Linked DNA regions of Lonchura striata. The protein of the gene in region 1 interacts with the protein of each later gene in a pairwise test. Links are inferred from orthologs where the notes say so. Each region holds a gene or a part of one and is shown in the gene's direction. Other genes may lie near its edges.

Region 1 (6,896 bases):
CATGTTACACTAGGTACAGCAAAACCCTTCCCAATTTTCTTTTAAATAAAAGCAATGCATGCCAGAGCTTCAGCATTTCAACATATTTCAAACCATTTTACCCATGTCTTTCCTGCCCATAAGCTTCACTCCCTACTGCTACATTCTGGGATTGGTCCATTTTCTCTCTTCTGATCTAATGCACTGTAGCCCTGCATCATTCAAGAGGTTTTTCAGACTTAAAAACACGGCAGTAATGTACCACATACTAAGAATAAAACTCAACAAACTAAGAAAATCACACAATAAGAAATTCCCACCCAAACTTTTTGACAGTACTTAAACATATTTCTCATTTTGAAACCCCAGACACATACTGTCACTGTAAGGTGACATAAAAACCTCCTGGCTTTTCCCCTTTCTTCTTTATCTATTGTTGAGGAAGAAAGTGACCTAACATTCTGTAAATGCAGGACTGCAGGAAACAAAGCCCATCACCTCTCCTCCTCACCACAGCCTTTCCATGTCCACCAGAATACACGTAAGAGCAATGAATTATATGGCATTTAAACAAAAATAAAGTGGTTTTTTTTTTAATTTTGACTAGTTTATTACCCAAAAGTATGTCACACCAGGACATCAACAGACTTATCAGTGCAGGTGAGAAAAACACTTGGATATATAACTGACTACATACAGCTCAAATGAAACCAAAATAGGCAGATAATGCAGTAACATTTCAACACAAGTCTAAGTACGAAAAAAGTTAATCTAAATGACAGAGGAAGGTATGGTTCAAATTACACTACACACCATATCAGCTAACAGAAACCCTGTGAGCTCCAGCTGCTAAACTGCTTAAATGCTGCCCTCTAAAGGTCTCTGAGACACTTTAGAAAGCATAACTTTCACTTTCTAACTAAGGTTCAAAGAGTCTGAAGAATTTACTTCAGCTTCAGTTCAGCTGAAACCAATGAAATCCCTTCCCACAAAGTGAAGAGACCAAAAGGTCTGTAAACATACAGGCAATTAGAAAAAATTAACCTAAACTCACATTTCCATGATAATCATTAACCCAGGGCAAAAGTTATTAAATAATCATTACAGGAAATATATTTCATGTACCCATTATTTAAAATACACAACCAGAATATTGTAAATCTTGGTCTCAGAACTATTCTGCTCTCTTAAATCTCTATTTTCAGGTTAGATATGCTTCAGACAAGAACTGTAATCTTCATTAAAACTTTTGCATTTTCAAGGCACAATGATAGCAGCTGAAAACTCAGTAATTTTAACTTACCCGTCATGTGGCACTGAAAGATATTGATTATATTGCTACCAGTATAGTATAGATTAGCCAGATATTAATTTATATTAAATCAGATATTCAGACATTGCCATAGTAGGCAATTCCAACTGCTCACAGGCAGGTGAGCAACTCACTTCAATGACAGTGATATAAAACTTCCCTAGTTTCTCTAAAAATTGCACACTGTTACTTAAAACAGGAAAAACAATCATAATTTTCACTTGATTAGGCTCTAACATTATTAATAAAAGGAAAAGGTATCCCTGCATATCCCTGGCCACTAACCAAAACTAAAAGCCATCAACTTATTTGAACAGGTACTAAGAAAAATCACAAGTGTAGAAGACAAAATACTGGAATAAAGCGTATCATTAGTGATGTCCTAACCTCGCAGTTAAAACTGCTAAGAGTTTGGGTATTTTCTGCATAACCAGCTGCCCTCAGGCTTTAAATATGCTTAAGTTTTCCTAATTCGTGCAGGGATTGTTTTCTGTTGGATTTATATATGATGTAACACCCCTTACTTCTGTTCTTCAGCTCACTACTGACCTTGCTCTTCGTAAGGGTCATCTGGGTCATCTGCAACCAGCTCAGCACTGCTCGGTGTCTCATGGTCCTCCTTGGTTGCAAATATTATTCTGTCTTTTCCTGCCATGGAGGAGACAAGAAACAACAGTTCAGAGAAATCTGAGATGGAAAAAGATTTATTTACAAAACTGCTGAACACCACAATGTGACTCACCAATATTGAGAATGAACTGTTGTATTTAACAATTACCTTCAATGACAACAGTTGCTAGTCCAGAGGAACACATACACACTGAAATTCTGTTATTCTAAAGCTCCAATTTTCATAGCAATGTCCTGTAATGAACAGTAGACTCCACTGAACTGCAAATTTAAAAAGCTGTTTCAAAACAAACTCAAATTGCTCCAAGACAAGGACTAAAACAGATGACAGGTTTAGAAGTGGAAAAAAAAACCCTATAATAGCAGTAAAGCATTCAATAGGTACTTATTAATAACAGCACTCTTTGCTAAAGACCAGTATAATATTTTAAACTAATCATATGAATTAAAAACAGAAGACAGCCGTCACCATATAGAGCTAACTACATTGAAAAGTGTTGTGAACGTTACAAGGGATGGAAATGCAACAGAGCAAATTTCCTGCTCTTGATTTAACTAAAACATTCCATAGTGGGGTCGGGGGAGGCTTGGCTGGAAACTTCAGTAGTTTTAGTTTTCTAACAACCTTGCAAAGCTCTAACACACACTCTGAGAGTGGAAAAAATGGTAAACTCCCCAAGAATTCTCCAAATTCATAAAGGCCACTACAGTAACTTGACATATGAGAAATTAGAATCTTCTGGCCCCTCAGTGTGACCTCAGCCAGCAGATGTTCAGTAACTTAACCTTGCTGAGTAACCATGCATTTAAACATATCTGAAAAACAGAAAAATCTAAGACCTTTTAAAAAAATGGTAACAATTTTCTTACAAATCTGCATGGTAAAGTTTGCTGGAGTACAATGTGGAACGTTTGGTCATTTCTTATATAAAAGGAGAGAGAAAACACATGAACTCTAACCCTGTCACTGCAATTTTGTAGGGTTGCATAAAGCAACTTACAGATATTGCAAAACTAAACAAAGCACAGCATAAAGCATAAAAGAGGTCCATAAGTTATGACCACCTCGATACAGTTTATAGTCTGTGGCCAAGTTTGTAACTTACGAATGGCATTTAGAACTATTGGTGCTTTTTTCCTCATCCTGAAACTTTACATTCAGCCACTTGGCATTACTTAGGAGAGCAAGGATTTTTATTTATATATAAGTAGATATAGATACTTATCTACGCATCTCCCACTTTAAGAAGTGGTTAAACACCACCACCTGTACAACACGATACAGAATCGCTCGCACTACACCCACCCTGCCCATCGACCTTAAAAAGGCAAAACCCCACAGCTCTGGCCGCTCAGCCAGGCTGGGATAAATGTAACCCCGGCGGGCAGCAGGCGCCCCGCGGCCGGGAGCCGCCCTGAGGCCACACGCGGTCTCGGCGGGCACCTCCGGCCGCTGCGGGGCCTCACCGTGCCCTCACCGTACCCCCACCGTGCCCTCACCGTGCCCTCACCGCGCCCACACGGCCGGGACCGCGCTGCCGCCCCACGGCCCCGCCGCCCTCCGTGAGGAGAAAGGTCGGCGGCGGGAGGCGAGGCGCTGCCGCCGCTACACGCGGACCGCGGGCGGCCGCCGCGCCTCCTCTCCCCTCCGGCTGCGCCTTCCCCTGGCGGGCTGCGGGCAGCGGACGGTCCCCCCGCGGCGCACCCACCCCCGGCGGGGTGACATTGGGAGGACGCTCGGGCGCACCTTCCTGCCTGCAGTAGGACATGGCGGAGCCGGCCGGTGCCTTCCTCCGCAGCGCGCCGCACGCGGGCCCCGCCGCTCCGCTCCTGCCGTCCCGCCGGCACCGCTCGGGCAGCGCCGCGCCGCCGCTCCACGCCGCGACCTCCCGCCTCCGGAAGCGCCTTCCCGGCCCCGCGGCGGCCGTGACGCACCTCCTGCGGCCGCGGGGCTCCGCCTGCCCCGCGGCCGCAGGGCGGAGAGAGAGGGAGGCGGGAAGGGAAGGAGGAAGGAGGGGCGGGAGCGGCTGAGGGCGCGGCTGGCGGTGCGCGGCTCCGGCGGCCCCTGAGCTGTGGTTCCCGGGGGGCGTGAGAGGCTCAGGATGTCGAGGAACGTAAGTGCTGCTCGCTCCGGCCCGTTCGCCCCCGGTGTGCCAGGGCTGCGGCCACGGCCCGGTGCCGTCTTTAGATGAGAGGGAAGATGTGTGCTAATGTCTTTGCAAATAATTCCATGGCTGAAAGTATGGGTGTTAATGCCTTTGAAATGGGTCTTCGCGTCGCTACTGACTTTGGGCAGCAGGCTGGTTGCCGAGCTGAGGCGGCTTGGCTCCTGACACAGGAAGGGGATCTGCACAAGCCTGAGTTTGTGAACTTTGGGCAGCAGGTTTGTTACAGAGCCCACACAGCCTAACTCGTGGAACAGAAAGTGGGTCTCCACAGACCTGAACTTCTGAACCTTGAGGTAAAACAGTGGGTTCAAGGAGGGGGATATGTGGAAGCCGGTTCGGGAAGGTTCTGTCCACCTTCCGAGGAGCCGATGGGGAAAGGAAGAGGCAGCGAGCAGCCAGGAGTTTAGGATGAAAGGAGGCTGCACCCCCCGAAACCTCGAGAAAACTCCGCGGCTGTGTGCCCCATTGGACTCTATTGGACTGCCTTTATTCGAATAAAGTTACAGGAGTTCTCTTTCTCCTTTATGGCCACTGGCTTTTCGTAGTGTGTTTTTCCATACAGAGAAGTTCCGTGCCCTGCTTTGGCTGTGTGAGTGTGCTGCAGTGGGATTTGGTAGCTCCTCACAAGCTGCGTGTGCACAGAAAAACCCCTGGGCTCTCATGTTAGTCCTGTGCCTTGTTTTGAGTTATTGTTAACCTGGATATAATTATTTTAGAGTGTGCAGGCACACTTTTTACTGGTGAGGTGAATCATAATTTGTTATTTATAGCAGTGTTTTAGCTGGTCAGGAATTTAGGGCTATTACTCAATTTGTCATGGCATGAATGTAGGGCGTGGACTCCAAATACAGAACCTGGAGGCAGACCGAAGACAGCTTGAACATGTAGAACCACTATAATAGAAATTGCGGTTTTTTTCTACCAGGATGGAGTCTTATTTATCGAATGTGTTTCTGGTATTAAAAGCGTGCTAAGGCATTTTATAAGTGTCGGCAAGTTTTGGTCCAAGGCAAGAGGTTCTCTGTAGTGCAGCAGTGCTAACAAAGCTAGCAGACTTGTTTTGAAACGGAATGCTTTCCCCTTTCACACCAATATGGCACTTTTGTTTATTTTCAGCAGTTCTCTGACACAGGCAGCAGAAAAGAGCATGTTAAAATCACAAGTGAGCGCAAACCAGGGTTCCTGGAGCGACTCAGTGAGACTTCTGGAGGCATGTTGATTGGACTTGTGACATTTCTTCTGGCTTTCTACCTTCTTTTTACCAATGAAGTAAGTGCAATACTGTCAGTGTTTGTACACAGCATTAATTGATCTTTGAGAAGAGGAGATTTTGTCTGGGGACCTTGTGTATATGCTTGGGATGTAACAGAAAAGTGAAATCACAGGCCACAGGTAGTATTTCTCTGAAAATAGGTATGGTAGAGACAGTAGCAGTGTGTGATGAGAAATAACATCCAAAGCTTGTAAACTGGTGATGAAACAGCCTGTGGTAAGAGGGTTGTGTGAGCCCGCCCTCTTTTTTCTTGAGATAACAAAAGGTCCTAATTTCTAGTGGTGTTATAATTACTTTAAAGAAATTCATACCCCATGTTGCAAAATTAGAGGAGTTCTCAGAAATAATACAGAGTTTCTCAGTATTATTTCTTGGTTTGAGGTTTTAAAAAAAAAAAAGTCATCCAGGAATCTTAACACCCTACCATTGAAAACATACTTGTTTTGGCAATTTTGGAGTGGAGATCAGAATTCTGTGGGTTTTCATGTAGAGACTTCTTTTCATACCTCTACAAGAGGAATAATAACTGCTTCAAATTTTGATGACTTTGCAGAAAAAAAGCCCATCAGGATATGATGATAAGCAGGGAAAACTTCTGCCAAGGAGTCAATATAGGTGTGTAGAAAATGAACTATAATTTATATCATTTTTGCAGTTACTGAGGAATGATGAACAAGGTAAGAAGTGCAGAGCAGTAAGTTTAGACCTGTGTAGGAAGAATTTGAGTCTGTTTGAGAAGCTTAGTCAATGTTAATGGTCCCACTGCCTGAGTGAGAAGTACTGCCCCAAACTGGCTCAGACAGAGAATAGAGAAGTACAAGTGTGTTTGAAAAATATGCCTTGGGCTGAATATACAAGGATTCCTTGTGGTCATCAGTTCTTGTGATGCTGCTAATCTTGTTCACAAAATGCTGCTGTGACATTGATTCTCCACAACTTGATTTCTCTTTTCTTCATTGCAGGGACGAGCTTTAAGGACAGCCAAGTCTCTCGATGAGGGGCTTTCTCTTGTGGTCCCTCTTGACAGCATCCTCAGTATCTCTCAGCAGAATGAGGGGAGACTGGTGCACTTGGCTGGAGCTCTGAGTACATCTAAGGTAAATAAAATAGTATCTTGAAGATATGAGTATTTCAAGCTTGGAGGGAAGGAAAAGTCTTTGCCATTCAAAGTTTTGTTTGATATCCAGGAAAAGACACATGGCTTTTCTCCTCCTCTATGCATTGGTAGCTACCACTCAAGCTCTGGTTCTTGGGCTGGAACCAGGGAGATGCTGAATGGCCTTGCACTCCCTTCTTCAAGCCAATGCCAGCTCTAGCTGTGTTTACCCTCAAGCTGCCTTTTATGGATAATTTCAATTGCCATTTTTGTAGGGAACCTGTTGTGTGTTCATGATATTGTTAAGTGTTCAGGGTCTTGCAGCACAGGAGCTCTGCAATTTTTTACTTTTCAGTAATGGTGACATTTTCCATGGTCCACTCACATTGCAGAAGGTAACACAGCACCTTCCAGCAAAACAGAATCTCCTGGTTTAAA
Region 2 (7,540 bases), on another chromosome or scaffold:
ACATATCTGCCTGTAGCATCTCACATACTCAACACAGCATTCATATAAATTCAAGCAGAAACAGGCACAACTGAAAACTCACTACATACAAACTGAATGTATCTCACTATTGCAAATAAAGCACAGACTAGAACAGATTAAATCTCAGTTCAAGAGGAAAACCAAGAAATCTAAGATCAGAAAAAGGAACAGAATATTGGAAACTAGATATAAAACTTACCTAAAAATGTCCAAGCTGATTTTAGAGTGACCAACATGTGACTCATATTTCTTTCTCTATTTGTGGAAAGGTGCACTTTTCACATGTCCAGTTAAGAGGAAAAAAAATATTAATTTCTGAATAGACTTTGTTCAAGCAGGAAAAAAAATGACACAGTCCTAACTATGAAAGACAATGTGGGGTCCAAATCAGAGCATCTGATTCTGCATATACCTCAGAAAACGAAAATTATGAGAGCTAAACCCATAAAGCAAGAACTCAGCTCCCCATTATTCTAGGGATCATAACAGACTAATTATGCAATCCAATTTAAAGGCCAGTAAATTTTGAGACTCAAAACAAACTGATAAAATGACCAGTCATTGATTCCCCCACTCCTTACGAAAAAATCTACAAGCTTTTGTGGCCACATTCCAGCCAAGATGTAAGCTTGCATAAGATTGTACATAACATTCACAGCCACCTCAAGTCACTAGTATGACCTTCAGCCGTAAGTTCAGCAGCTGGTTTAATGCTCATTTGGTTCATTCCTGGATGGTAATAAAAATGAATGTTTTGTTCAAAATATGCTTCCTGACGTCATACAAACTCTGTCTAACAGCATCTCCCTGTATCATCACTTCAACTTGAAATATTTAGGCAGCTTCTTAGCAGTCACCTATCACAAGGCACAAAGTCCTTCCTAGCATAAATGAACCCTCTTGCTCTGAATACTCAGATTTCACCACATTATTCTTCCTATTCCATAACATGAGACCATTAATAAAGGCAAAAGTACTTAAAATGTGTGTAACACAACTGGCATTGTTAACGTATTTCTGAATATCCCTGTCATCAGAACAAATACTCCAGTGACTGAGAAAGCAAAAATAATCTACCATTTCTTTTCCTGAAGTAATTAACTTTATTTTAATGGAAAAACCCAAACAAACAAACAAACAAACAAAAACCCCACAGTAGTAATGAGAAAAAAGAAAAGTGTACATTTTTCCAGACCTTTAATTTCTAACCTTTAAGTGACAATTGCTGCAGACTGAAAATAAAATTGCATGAAGTTCAAGGACACCAGCCACATTTCTTCCCTCTCTGCTTGCCTATCAGAAATAATTGCAACAGTTCTAGACTCCATAAGATACAGTCTAGCAGATAAGTGATAACAGAGTGTCAGTAACAAAGGTCAGAACTAAAGGGCATAGTTTGATAATTGAGAAAAATAAGGATACATTTGGCCAAATATAAATATGGAATTTAAGAAAAGTAGGTTAAAGTAAGAGAAACTGAAGAAATGAAGGGGGAAAGTTGTTTTCATTGTATGAGACAGCAAGAGACAGAGCAAAAAATTTTACTCAAGCTTACAAGCTACTGAGCTACCAGTTTCTTCAGAACATGAAGAACAATTCTCTGGGGACAAGTCCATGTACAGCAGATAGCCTCACCATCAGGAGTATCAACTTCTTCCCACACCTGATCCATCACATCAGAAAGAGAAAAGATACTGGTGTCTGTTAACTACTGCTAAGAAGTCTGAAGTGAGCAGCTACAAAAAATCCTGTATCTGCCCCACATCTCTATTGATGACATTTCTGTGGGTATCTAGACCTCCCCTGAAAATATTTATGCGTATCAGAAAGACATGGAGTGCTAACTGCTTTTAAATTTGCCTAGTGGTTATAAACTACATGGTTTTCATATCCTTGCATCAAAATAGAGCAATCCCAAAGATTATAATACATCTTAGATCCACACAGAATAAAAATTGCATGAATCCAAGTCTTATAATTTATACAGACACCATCAGGTCAGCCCTTCTGGCCTCCTAACTACAACTATCTACTATTTTTCAGCCCTAAAACAATCTCCAAAACAGCTCAAGATCACAGTTGTGCAGACACCCTAGAAATCCATAGCAAACTCAGTTTGTGTGGGCCTGATAATAAGGAGAGAAAATCATCTCTTGAGCATAAGGTGACAGCATGACCATCACTGTACCTTTCTGTTCCCACTAGAAATGCATCTTGTAGGCCTACTCCTCTTCTTTTCATCAATCCAGGGAGCTACTGCTGCAACATACAAGACAGATAAGACCTCTTAATAAGCAAGAGCCATGAGAGTCTCAGGGCGCTGTCACACAAATCTGTTTTTCTTCACATAGCCATATATAACACTGATTATCACTGCAACAAAGCTCCTGAGGTGGAATTGTCAGTGTTAGATTTATGGATGGACTTGATTCACATGATTCTGTGCTTCTATGTCAGACCTGAGCTGACCTAAACTAGTTCAGTAACACCAGCTGTAGGCAGGAGCATTAACTCCCCAGCCTAGTCCTTGACCTGGTTAGCATTGCAGTAGCATGGCAAACCTAGAAGCCCTTCAGTACAGGCATATGCAAGTAGCCATATAATTGCAGGCTGAAAAGCCTTACATACTTACATACACTTATCACTTACTATTGTGGTATAGGATGGAAAAAAAGTAGTTTACAAGCAGGCACAGTAGCCTGTACAAAACTGCAAAACTTGACTGTTTTGTAGAACAGCAAAGATGCATAAAATTGGAGGAAGGAATCATGCCATAGTTTTTCCTTGCCAAGAATGTTCCTGCAATTACTCATTTAGGGAAAAATTCAATTGCCCTCTCACTGTACCTGCTCTTTAACATAGAGAAAGAACATAGTTGCCATTCTGATTCTTAATGAAGGGGTTTCATTACATTTTAATGTACAAATAGACTGCTTTCAAAGATAAATAAGTCATATTGATGGTTTACAAGCTCACTACATCACATGTGTTTTCTGAACAGTTTTAAGAATGTTTCTTTCTTTTAAAAGAATAGACTTCCTATCCTAAGTGAATAGATATGAACAACACAACAGAGCCAAAGCAAATTCTTCTTGTGATTAGAGAAAGAAAAAGCTTTTGATTTGTTGAAGGTTGTACCACTTGTTTTATGGAAGAGTAATAATGTAGAGAGACTTTGCCTAGTTAAGAAGCCCTGTGTTTACAGCCTATGATCACACAGGATCAAGTGCAGAATAACAAAAAGGCCTATTTAGGAGAAAATCAAACATTTACAGCATAGTGACTCAAAGAGGCATTAATTCAGAATCCAAGTAGCTTAAATACAGCACAAGTACAGGTTTTATGGGGAATACTTAAAGACGATGAAAAGCTTTTTTTTTTTTTTTTCTTTTTTATTAAGTCTTCTCCCATTTATTTGGAATTTTTGCTTCCAAGAAAGCAGCTGTTTAATTTTTAACTTTCATAGCTATTATGTAAATCCTGTATTTCAATAGTTACTGTTTCACACATTTATAGATTTCATTACAATTTGCTTAACTGATCACAAGCAAATTTTGTATTTAAAAAAGTCTAGGTATTTAGCTATGAAAGAAACCACAAACAAAAGACATTTTAAAAGAGAAAAATACATCAGTTTGCTTAGATGTCTTTGCATTTACAAATAAAACCTGTGAATAGTCAAAATGAATTTGTGCTGTTTCACAGGGTTTTTGTAGATGCTGAGAACAGAAAGAGTGTATTTTGGGTCAGTCTTATAGAGAAATCTTCATTACTGTGCAGGTCCAAGATGAAGTTTAACAGAATTTGTAAATGCTTTGGATGTTATATCAGCACTATAAGAGGATTTGCAATATAAAGAAAGATTTCTGATTATTTCACTCACTAACATAATCATTATAGTAATCTTCAACAAACAGAAAACCATGCGAATTTGTAGTTAATATTTGCCATTTTATGGAAAAACTCGTTAGACCAACTGGTTTTGTCCTGTTTGGGTTCCTGTGCATTGAGAATTAAAACACGACCTGTATTTAAACTGAACTGCAATGATTTGACTTTTACAGCAGCTACATGCACACATGTGGATGAACTTGTCACTGGAGAAGCGCAATATAATAATTTTAGCATGTTCACAACAGGTGCATATAGTCACTTCTTAAACATATACAAATTTCTTATTTAAACTTGCATGCTTAGATAGATCACAAAGTGTAATTTATGACAAAAAATGTTTTAGTTTTAGGTACAAACCTGAAACCAAAACATCATTTGAAACAGAGTTCTTGTTTTACACTCCTCAATTAATCCAAACAAGTTCTTGTTATGTATAATGAAATTTCAATTACACAGTTCACCTAGATTTTATATGACTGTTGTTCTCAAGTAAACTTCTGAAGTGCTGCAGATAAAAAAGAAAACTCCCTTATGATGTCAGAACACTACGTTACTCATTAACTGATTTTTAAACCCAGTTTGAGCTGGAGTCACACCAAGACAGCACTTCCTACAGCAGAGAAAGGCTGTGTTTTTCACAGATCACTCTAGAATTGAACTTACCTAAGTCTGCAGTTAGCTCCATTAAAATGCTGAAAAAAGGAAGCTCCTTGGAGGACTCCGTTTTCCTTTCTGAAAGTCAGAACAGCTTCCGAAAATCAAGTATTGACACCCCAGCCAGTCCTACGGAGAGTGTTGGATCAGTATTTTTAAGGTAAAACCCAATATATTTGAGTGTTTTTCATGTACTTGATTATGGGGGGAACAGGGCAGCAACAGAGGAGTGCACTGGGACAAGTATACTCATGAAAATACCTAGATAAGGTATTTAATATAAAAAGGAAATGCACACAGAGATGGTAATTTCATGTATATTACTGATTGCACTGGGAAGGGGAGCACTCCTGTAAAGGAGAAACTTGTGATGGAAGGCAGAAAGGTATTGTTCTCTTCTCCCTTATCTATTCACACTGAAATAGGGCTTTGAATGTTTATAACACTATACACTAACAAAACTCAAGTTTTAAAGTGACATTTATGGGGTCACCCAAATATCTATAATATTTTATTTCTGTACAAAACAAATGTAAACTTTGTTAGATCAGGGAGTTTAACAAAATATTTTCATATGTGTTTTGGCCTAAAGGAACTTCATAATGTTTATTAAACTAATTTTCAAGGTAAGTGCCACCTTACTCACTAGAAATATTCAAGGAAGTAGAAAACTTTCTAAATTAATACTAGTAAATGGTTTCCTGATAGAACATTGCAAAAAAAAAAAAAAAAATAGGGGAAAATCTGTTTTCTTACTTTGGAAGGGTGGACTTTTTGAATTGCAAATTCCCTCTATGGTGGAATTCATTGCAACACAGAGTTCTGGAGAAATCATGCACATTTTAGCACAAAAAATGAGGGAAGGCAATGTCAGAGGGCTACTGGCACTTAGTGCTTATCCTTCATCTACTGCAGGAGCAAGACAAGCAAACATCCACAGTACTTCTGTCAACCCATCATGAATAAAATAGCTTAAAAAGCTATTCAAAATATCGTTAGACATTTATTGGTTCTTAATCTGCTTGAAAATTCTTTGCCAAGGGCTGGTACTTAATTGTTGCATGGTGCCAAACAACCCTGAAGAGTGATTTGGAACCTCTACATAGTCTTTGTGTGGCTGAATTACGTTTCTTTGTGGCTGTGCACAAATTCTTTATATGGGATGACAAATCTTATCACTAATTGGGTCACTACTATAAAGGAGACTGTTGGCCTAGTTTTTCTCTTTTGAAATATTATTAGGGATTTTTAATATTATATATGCATAGCATCCTTTCTTCCAACTCAAATGACAGAGAGATAATGTCCAACAGTTTGAACAGATAATAGAGAATCGGAAATTTTAAGTTTTAATTAGAGATTTCAAAGACTCTTATCTAGAAATAATCACTTCAAACTTGTTTTAAAAAAAAACAATTTCACATGACTTTTCATATGCCTCTTGATCTCATTTTGCAATTAGGTGTGGGACATAAGTATATACAGTGATATTTGGCATTAAAAATCACAAGTTGGTGATTTTTAACCACTTCCTAATTTGGACAATATAAATTTTTCCTCCTTTCTATGCCCTGTCCAGAACACTGAGCAGACAGATCTACCTACTTTTTTATTTACCACTAAATAACCAGTACACAAAAAGTTGCCATATATGCCCTGGGGGCAGTGTGATCAGGCCTTACAAAGAACAGTCCTTTACCCCCAATTTCTCAATAATCAACCTGCCTGCCAAGTATCCAGTGGTAGGAGCAGGCCTTCTAGAAAGCCAGTTTACAGTTTGCTGGTTCGGTAAGGATAATATGATCATAAAACCCTGTTGTGAAACCAAACCTCTCTCAATAGCAAAGATGGAGTAGCAGGCTGCAAATATTAGACAATCTAATAAGGAGGATGCACAATAGCACACAATAAGCTAGACAGACTAAGCTCTCACTAAACTTGCTTTTCATGTGTTTGTCACAGTCATGATACATTTATTGAAAATGAGCCCCATTAAAAATCATGGAAAATGCTTTTGCAAAAAGTAAATGCAGGATCTGCATTTTTAGGTACTATTTTCATACAGTCTTATTTATTTGGAGCATATTTTCTATATATGAAGATTTACCCACAGAGAAAATTTACTATATTAATGATCCTTCTTGTTTATTCTAATTATTCATGCCTGAGGAGAAAAACTGACTATATGCCTAAGTTTTTACATACTTCTGTTTTCACCTCACTGTAATTGGCACGTGGATGAGTAGGAATTTAGCAGAAATCAGGGAGTTATTAACACTTCATAAAGGGGAAAGCTTATCATTATGGCAGCATGTTATTCCTGACATAGAGCAAAACTGATTTCAAAAGGAAATTAAGACTCTGGAGCTAAAGCTGAGGTGTCAGCCATATATTATCAATCAGAAATTTGTATTTATAAAAGTACTGGCCACATGTTTTGCAGCATTTTTTCAGCATGAATGTACAGAGTTGTTCTGACATCAGAACAAAATATGGGCAAAAATACCAGGGATTTCAAGCTCCCATCTGGAGCCCATCCCTATGATATGAGTCAATACTTGTATCCAGTTCTCCTAAAATTTAGAAAACTCTTAAGGCTTTTGATTTTGAATAATCTCCTGAGTGACCCTAAAAAAAAAAACAAAAACCCCAAACATATTGAACACAAGAAAATTTGTTTTTTAGACCAGCAATTTAGACCACCAATTCTGTGCAGTCATAATGCTACGTATGTTTAGGCCAATCTTAGCAATAATTGCATTGCAGGTAATATATTAAATGATTTTTAAAAATCAGCATTTGGCAGTAACATTGATATTAGGTGAAAGTTACAAATAATTTTTTTTTAAGTACAGAACAATGTTTTTAAAATTACAGAACATAGAGAGGTTTGTTTTCTAAATATCTCATCAAAATGGAAATCAAAAGGGTTCTTGACTCCAGTCCGGACCTGGCAGCTCATTTGGTGCAC
Region 3 (7,272 bases), on another chromosome or scaffold:
GTGCAGAATACAGCTTGGAGCAGTGTTTTTCTGCTAGGTGGGATTTGGCGGTGTCACAGCAAGACAAGTCATTTGCTTGTTTTTAAAAAGGAAAAATATGTTCAATTCCAATGTGGAAGTGGTCCATGATATTTTTAATGCAAGTGTTTGGTTTTGATTTGTATTTAAAGAGTGTTTTTTCCCTGTATTTTTGTTTAGCTGAATATAGTTTCACTAGCTAGTTTGTTGCTTAACTCTTTTATTACATTAGATTACCAAATATAAATAATTTTTATTTTGTTGCTTATATCAATTTATTTAATATATTACTACATTTTCTTTGTTCACGGTGGCATTTGATTAGTTGTTTTTAATATTGCTTAAATTTTCTGGAATTTCTTTGATATTTCCTGTAGCTTTTGCTTTCTGTCCTCCTTCCTTTCCTTCCAAGCTCAAAAAACAGAAGAGATAAACATCCTGTTTTGCTTTATGATTTGTAGGAGGGTCTGAATTTACAAGGAAATCTACTTTTAAATTTAATTCTATATGTAAGTTGGGAAAGCTGGCATATTCTCCACCTATAGAGTACAGAGTGAGTGGTCCAAACTCATGTTTTGGCTCTTGATCAGACACTTTTAGTTTTCCTTCTGAATGAAACTGGGGGATTTATCAGTTTTTTTGCAGAGCTTTGTTCCTCAGCTTGTCTTCCTTCCCAAGGCTGGAGTACCATAGCAGCATGGGATGCAGTATTCTGTGCAAAGGTGGATGTTGAAACTCTGTTGGACTGGAGAACAGGTTATTCACTTGTTGGAACTGATAAATTTCTTTGTTGCATTTAAAATTGAACACTTCAGTCAATAGTAGTTGGTTACTAGTGTGATTTGATTTTGATGTGCTTATTGTATGTCTTCTACAGGATACTGTTCCTTCCTAATCTTAACCTTATAAAGTTGTTGGAAAGAAAATCTTTAGCAGCTAGGGAAAAACCTCTCCTGGGCTGATGCTGAATATTCCAGCATATCTCCACAGAAGAAATAGTGAGTGATGGCGAGGAGGGAGAAATCAAACAGCCCTGACCAAAGTCTGGGTTTTGTGCTGAGTTAGAAATAGGTCACTCTGATTTGGTGGGTGGAACAATGCTGTTGGTGTTTCCATGGCTGTGTTTGTGTCTGCATCTGCCATGTGGGGTGTGGTGAACTTGGAGAAGGTCTGGACAGGGACTGCCATGGCTCCATTGGGGGCCGTGAGAGAACACGAGAGAACATCAGAAATGTGGGGTGTCAGGGGCTGGAGGCTCCCTGCAGTGCTGGCCACAAAGACAATTCCATGGTTATATAAATCTGTTGGGATTTCCCTTCGTGGTGGTTGGAAAATGGGGTTGGTAGGGAATGTCTTGAGGTGCAAGAAAAAAGCTGCCTGCAGTTTCAGGCAGAGTGGGTCACTACAAGGTAGCAGGAAATGGTCTAATTGTGTATGAAAAAGAGATGAATTGGACTGATGACATTTTGGCAAAGGAAATCATCAAGAGTCTTGACTCAGTTTTGTATATTTATTTTGGTCTTGTTTTATAATATTCTGTTACATTGGATTGATCTAGCTTTTGCTTGTTATGGAGGAAAAGAGAACCCTGAGGTGTCTTGAAATAACAAATAGCATAGTTAAGGGCACCAAAGAAAAGAGTGTCTGGAAGGATTGAAAAAAATCCTAATTCATTAGTCAAAACCAGAGTGGATAGAGATTAAATTGTATTATATAGTTGATTAATAATTTATGTCATGAACTGTGTTCTAAAAATTGTGAAGTAGGCCAGCAGATCCAGAGGCTGTGTCTGAGCAGAGGTGCACATGTCTGTCCAGGCCTGCATTTGATCCTAACCGTGCCAGGCCCTTGGGATCTAACATCTCCCAAGAGCTGATAGACTGCAAAAGGCAAAACCTTGCACCCTAACATATCTTTGAAATTAAATAAAAATACTAGTTTCTTAAAAAATATTGGCAAGCTTTTCTCTGATAGGTATTATGTTTAATGAGCATTTTCAGCCTTTCATTTAGATTTTGGGTCTTAACATTCTTTGGTTTGTGTCACATCTTGAAAAAAGTAACTTGTCAGTGTTTTTCACAACTTCATCCTGTTCTCTCTTAATAGTACTGTGTGTGAAAAAGTCTTATTCAAATATGATTACACTGTTTAAAAAGATGAAAGATTTTCTATTACTTTGTTGGTGGCTATAATGAATTAAGAGTGCATTTTAAATGGAAGTTCCTGAACTCGGTTTTTAAATGTTATAGAAAAATATATGTTGTTGCATCACATACAGACAATTGTGATAAATTTTTTGTGTTTATTACTCTTATATGGGACTTTTTCCCTTCCAACCATTAAGATGACTATAGAGAGCTTTTGTGTATTTTTTTTCCTCAAACTAATATTCAGTTACCCTTTCAAAAGCTAGCTAAAATGCTAAATTCAAGTCTAATCTATTTGATATGGGTGAGGATATGAAAGAAGATGTGCTTTTTGATATGAGAGAAGTGGATGATGCTAAGTTGAATTTGTCAGAGGTACCTTGTATTCCAGTGAAGCACAAATGTGATTTTTAGAATGGGTCTGGAGCTAACACCTTGGTAAGGTGAGAAGCTGGAAGAGTATCAGTCTATTTGCCATTAATAATGCCCAGGCACGTGAGGCACACAATCTTTTTCAATGTCTTCAAACTACTTTCTGTGTGCCTGCGCCCCAGCAGAGCTTTTTAACCAGTGGTTTGGTTGTGCCTTGCTTTTCGTACAGGATTTCGGTTCTGTGTCCGGGTCCCAAAGGCTTTGTCCCCGGGGCACTGCGCAGCCAGCAAAGCACACGGGCAGCAGCAGCTGTACCGTGGCCAGGGGCCGGAGGGTGGCTCTGGGGACCACACGGGGGGCAGCCTGGGACACGTTTCGCGCACCTCACAACGCGCTATTAGCTTCTCAAAAGCTGTTTTTATGCAGTTTTTATTCAGCTTCTCTGTTCTGCTTGTAAACTTCCTTGACTCTTACCTGGTGGGATGCTGTAGATTGCAGGTTTTCGGGCGAGACTGAAGGAAGCCTTGTATTGAGTGGGTAGATTGTTTTTATAGCAGTTGGGCATTATTTGCAGGTATTACAGTGCTGATACAAGTCTTCTTGAAAAGGACTTGGATTTGAAATAGGAGGAAAGCACTTTAAAGATAATTATCTTTACTCAGATTTCATAGCCTTGCTTTTTATGTGACAACAGTTTATCTCAGTGTGTTTTGTTCTGTTGCCTCCACTGCAACTTATACTTCCATGATCTTACCATCATTACATCAGCGTTCCATAATGTCTAAGCTTTTCTGAGCAAAGCATGTGCTTCACGCAAGTGTGTTGACTTGGCTTCTAACTTTATCCTTTTACCTGTTCTAATTTTTTTTAATACTCCAAGTAGATAATCAAATATGCCACATTGTTTTAGTTCTGTTGGTTATCTCTTCTCCTTGAGATTATGCTTTTGCTTCATTGAGCAATACTTATACAGATGGAGAAAATTCCTGTTGAATAGGAATTTATAGATCCACAGTGAAAAGTGCTCATCTGAGGAATATCCTTGAAATAGGAGGAAGTGATTTTCATGTGTTAGAAGAGTTTTGAACGGAAGCTGTAGCTTTTGCCGGGGAGTTATTTCGGGGGAAGCAGAGGGCTTTCTCCGTGCGCACGTGTGAGGCACGGCCGGGCCGCGGGCGGGCGGCCCTGGGGAGCCGTGGGGCGGGCGGGGCCGCTCCCGGGGCCGTGTGGGGCGGGGCCGTGTGGGGCGGGCCGGCTCCCGGGGCCGTGTGGGGCGGGGCCGTGTGGGGCGGGGCCGGCTCCCGGGGCCGTGTGGGGCGGGGCCGTGTGGGGCGGGGCCGGCTCCCGGGGCCGTGTGGGGCGGGGCCGTGTGGGGCGGGGCCGGCTCCCGGGGCCGTGTGGGGCGGGGCCGTGTGGGGCGGTCCGGCTCCCGGGGCCGTGCGGGGCGGGGCCGCGTGGGGCGGGCGGCTCCCGGGGCCGGCTCCCGGGGCCGCGGGCGGGGCCGAGGCGCGTCCTCCCCCGGAGGCGGTGGCGGGCGGGGCGGGGCGGGGCGGGGCCGTCCCGCGCCGGCCGCGCCGGGGGAAGCTCGGGGAACCATTTTGGGGCGCGGGGCCGGAGCGCGGCCGCGCACGGGGGCGGCGGCACCGGCCGGGGCGGCGGATCCGGGCGCGGCGCGGGGCCCCGCGGCCGTCGCGGGGGCGTTCGGCGCGGTCGCCGCCCGGCCCGCGGCCCCAGCCCGCCCGTGCTGCGCGGACACGCCATGAGCTCCTCCGCGCCCCATGACGGGCAGATCTGCCTCCAGCGGGCCGTACTCCTGGAAGGGCGTCTGGTCTGCGTGCTTGCCGGGGAGTAAAACCTGCAAGGGGAAAGGTAGCGCCCTTTAAATTGCCTTATGCGCAGTATTTGAAGCCGGGCTTGCAGGAGCTGTTAAATTGTGTTCCGCGGGAGGTGTCGGTAACCTGTGCATGTCGCCTTTCCCAGAACAGTGTCGAGAGTCCTTTTAGCAACAGGTGCCTTCTAGATGTTACCAAGAGCTGCTTTGCTTGATTTAGAGCTAGGAAATCTTAAGATGTGTTCTCCCCTTTTCACTCTTACTGTTGGGTAATTTTTCTTTTTTTTTTTAATATGCACAGTGTTTTTGGTAATTGGAGTTAAAGGAGCTAATACTCTTGAAAATGACACCTTACTGTTCCTTAGTTTGTCACTGTTGCTTAGAAACTTGTTCCTAATGTGTGCAAATAAAGATAATGAAATAGCAAATATTGCATATAAGTGTTTTTACCTGTAGTAAGGGGTTTGTAACTAAAAATGTCTTTAAACTTTATCTCCAGTTCTGTAGCTGTTTTTCCTTGGTTTGTAATTGTATGATTTTCATGGTTTGGTGGGTTAAATGTATTACACTGTTAAAACTTTTGCTTGTGATTAACTTGTAACTTTTGAGATAGCCATAAAAGATGTATTATTCATCTTTGTGTTAACAAGAGTGATGAAAATGTAGGCTTTGGGCAGGTTTAGGCTTGGTGAATTACAGTTTGTAGCCTTATGCAGTGTCTTTCCTGCATGCTGATCTCAGTGGGCTGGTTCAGAGATTGCTCCTTGTTCCCAGTTGCTGCTCCTTCCATTCCCTGTTCCTTTCCATTCCCTGCTCCTGTGAGTGTTGTGGAAGGTGTGTGAAGGCTGCTCACACAGGAGCAGTGGTAACATAGTTCTGTTCTCTTCCATACCTTAGAAAGCTCAAGTGGGAAGTGCATCCGTGCACAAGCTCTTTTGCAAAGTTTGTAGGTTGCTTCATTTAACTGTTGCATGGGCTCAGCGAGGTGTAATTAAAGACGGCAGAGCTCACCCAGCTTGTCAGGCTGCCCAGGGAACTGGTCTGACACAGTGGTTTTCACCTGCCTTATCTGCAGGTTATGGAGGATCCCTGGATCAGGATCTACAGGGTCAGGCAAGAGGAAGCACAGCACAGACTTTTCTGAAATGTGTGTGTTTGCAGTATTTGAAGGGAAACACTTCCAGAATTTTACATGTGAATATGTTGTTTCTAAGCTCCTCCCAAGCGAACAGGTGTGATCAGCATTGGTTCTCTTGTGCCCAGTGGTTTGTTCTGGAGCACAGACCTGCAGCTGCTGGGACATAGAGCAGTACAGCTGGCAGAGTCCCCTCCCTGGTGCAGCATCACTTCTCCAGGACACATGCTTGATTTGTCACAGACACCCTGAACTTCTCATCTAAGTTGGAATGCCTCACAGTGGGAAGATACAGCCAAAAGACACAAGCATTCTTGTCATAGCTCTACAGGATCAGTTATGGCCCAGCACTGAAAACTGCTGCATGGGTGTTTTTCTCAAGGTACTTCTAAACCACCAAGACTGAGATGGAGGAAGAGAATTTGGTGGGTTAGGAAGATGCTGTCAATGGGACACATGAGACTCATAAAATCAGTGTCTGAGAATCATATCTTAGACACTCATACTTTTCTAGCTCTGGGGAGAGGTACTTCTGTAGAGTAATTTGGACTTGTCTGTCTCTCGTTACTTTCTAAATGTCAAGGACTTAAGTCATTTTGCAAGTAGGAATCTCTTAGTTCTTCTGCTTGGTGTTTTTGAACAGTGCATGTCTTGCAAAAGCATGCACAGTATGTTGCTCTGAGCTGTCTGGTCCAAGTATGAGTAAGTTTGTGGTGAAATGATGCTAAATATGGGAAGCTTGCCTATTGCCTAATATTCCCATGTCAAATAGCAAGGAGATTAAAGATGAGGTTTATTTTGAGAGCTTTATACGTACGTGACAGATCCAGAGCTGGTTGTACTCGCAGAGAGGCACTTAGTGTGGCTGAGAATTGTACTCTATAACAGAAGCCAATTTTGGATAGCATTTTATTTAACTGCCCTTTACCTACAAAGGTATGGTTTATTTTTTCAGATAGCGCTAGTAATGTCTTTTGTACAAGAAGGAGGAGAGTTAGGAGTGCAGGAAAACACAATGTGTTACAAAATGTGGTCAGTACTTGTTCCACATCTGTGGAATGTTCGAGTAAGCTGTTAGGTCAGACAGCTGTCACCTTTGTCGGGGGACATTAGAGAGGACAGAACTTCAGTGGGAGCTCCACTGAATATAGAACTTCATCAAGAGGGACTGAAAATGTCTGAGTATTTACATGGTAAAATGAATACTCAAATTTAACAAGTGAAGTTCGAATTTTTAGTCTTAGTTGGGAAATTAAATAAAGTAATTGCTGTGGGTTTTTTTTTCTGGTATCGTCACAAATGGTTTTGTTAAGGAAGCTGAAGCAGTGGCTGTGCTTTACAAGCCATGGGCCTCAATAGTAGAGTAGTGAAAATGAAGAGTCACTGTCCTATCCTGCAAAAAAGCAGAGTAGTAATTGTCTGAGCTGTGTTTTTCAACTTCTTAAAAAATTACACTGTAAGTATGAGTACTGAGAAGGTCACATCCAGAAGATAGTTTTTTTCATTAAAGCCTTGTTTCTCTTACACGGCAGCTTAGAATTGTTCCATACACAGAGTTGGTACACACAAGTGATCTGGGTGTGAAGCATTTCATAAATGCAGTATTAAATTTTTAGCATGTTTTTACTCCCCTGTCTTGCAGCTTCCAGTAGCTAAATGCCTCTTCCGAACAATGAGCAGAAGTCCTTCACTTGTTAAGTTTCCATGTCACGGGAGTGTCTGTATCGATCTACACATAGCACATACGCAGTTTGTATTACATTGGGGGG

Evidence for each region.
Region 2: the proteins of TMEM43 (region 1) and GRAMD2B interact in binary tests that used the Homo sapiens proteins (3 or more experiments, as listed by UniProt). The two-hybrid records come from large-scale screens. The link is inferred for Lonchura striata from reciprocal best matches to the Homo sapiens genes TMEM43 and GRAMD2B.
Region 3: the proteins of TMEM43 (region 1) and SIAH1 interact in binary tests that used the Homo sapiens proteins (3 or more experiments, as listed by UniProt). The two-hybrid records come from large-scale screens. The link is inferred for Lonchura striata from reciprocal best matches to the Homo sapiens genes TMEM43 and SIAH1.

Annotation. Positions count from the first base shown.
Region 1 is NC_134614.1:14,600,829-14,607,724, forward strand, and holds the start of TMEM43 (transmembrane protein 43), read left to right. Parts: upstream 1-3,895; 5' UTR 3,896-4,023; coding exon 4,024-4,035; intron 4,036-5,205; coding exon 5,206-5,358; intron 5,359-6,324; coding exon 6,325-6,459; intron 6,460-6,896. Other genes in the region: CHCHD4 (mitochondrial intermembrane space import and assembly protein 40), read right to left, coding at 1,841-1,939, 3,669-3,690. UniProt on the Homo sapiens protein: May have an important role in maintaining nuclear envelope structure by organizing protein complexes at the inner nuclear membrane. Required for retaining emerin at the inner nuclear membrane.
Region 2 is NC_134642.1:60,727,037-60,734,576, reverse strand, and holds the start of GRAMD2B (GRAM domain-containing protein 2B), read left to right. Parts: upstream 1-4,530; 5' UTR 4,531-4,604; coding exon 4,605-4,729; intron 4,730-7,540.
Region 3 is NC_134615.1:10,448,276-10,455,547, reverse strand, and holds the start of SIAH1 (E3 ubiquitin-protein ligase SIAH1), read left to right. Parts: upstream 1-4,262; 5' UTR 4,263-4,315; coding exon 4,316-4,406; intron 4,407-7,272. UniProt on the Homo sapiens protein: E3 ubiquitin-protein ligase that mediates ubiquitination and subsequent proteasomal degradation of target proteins.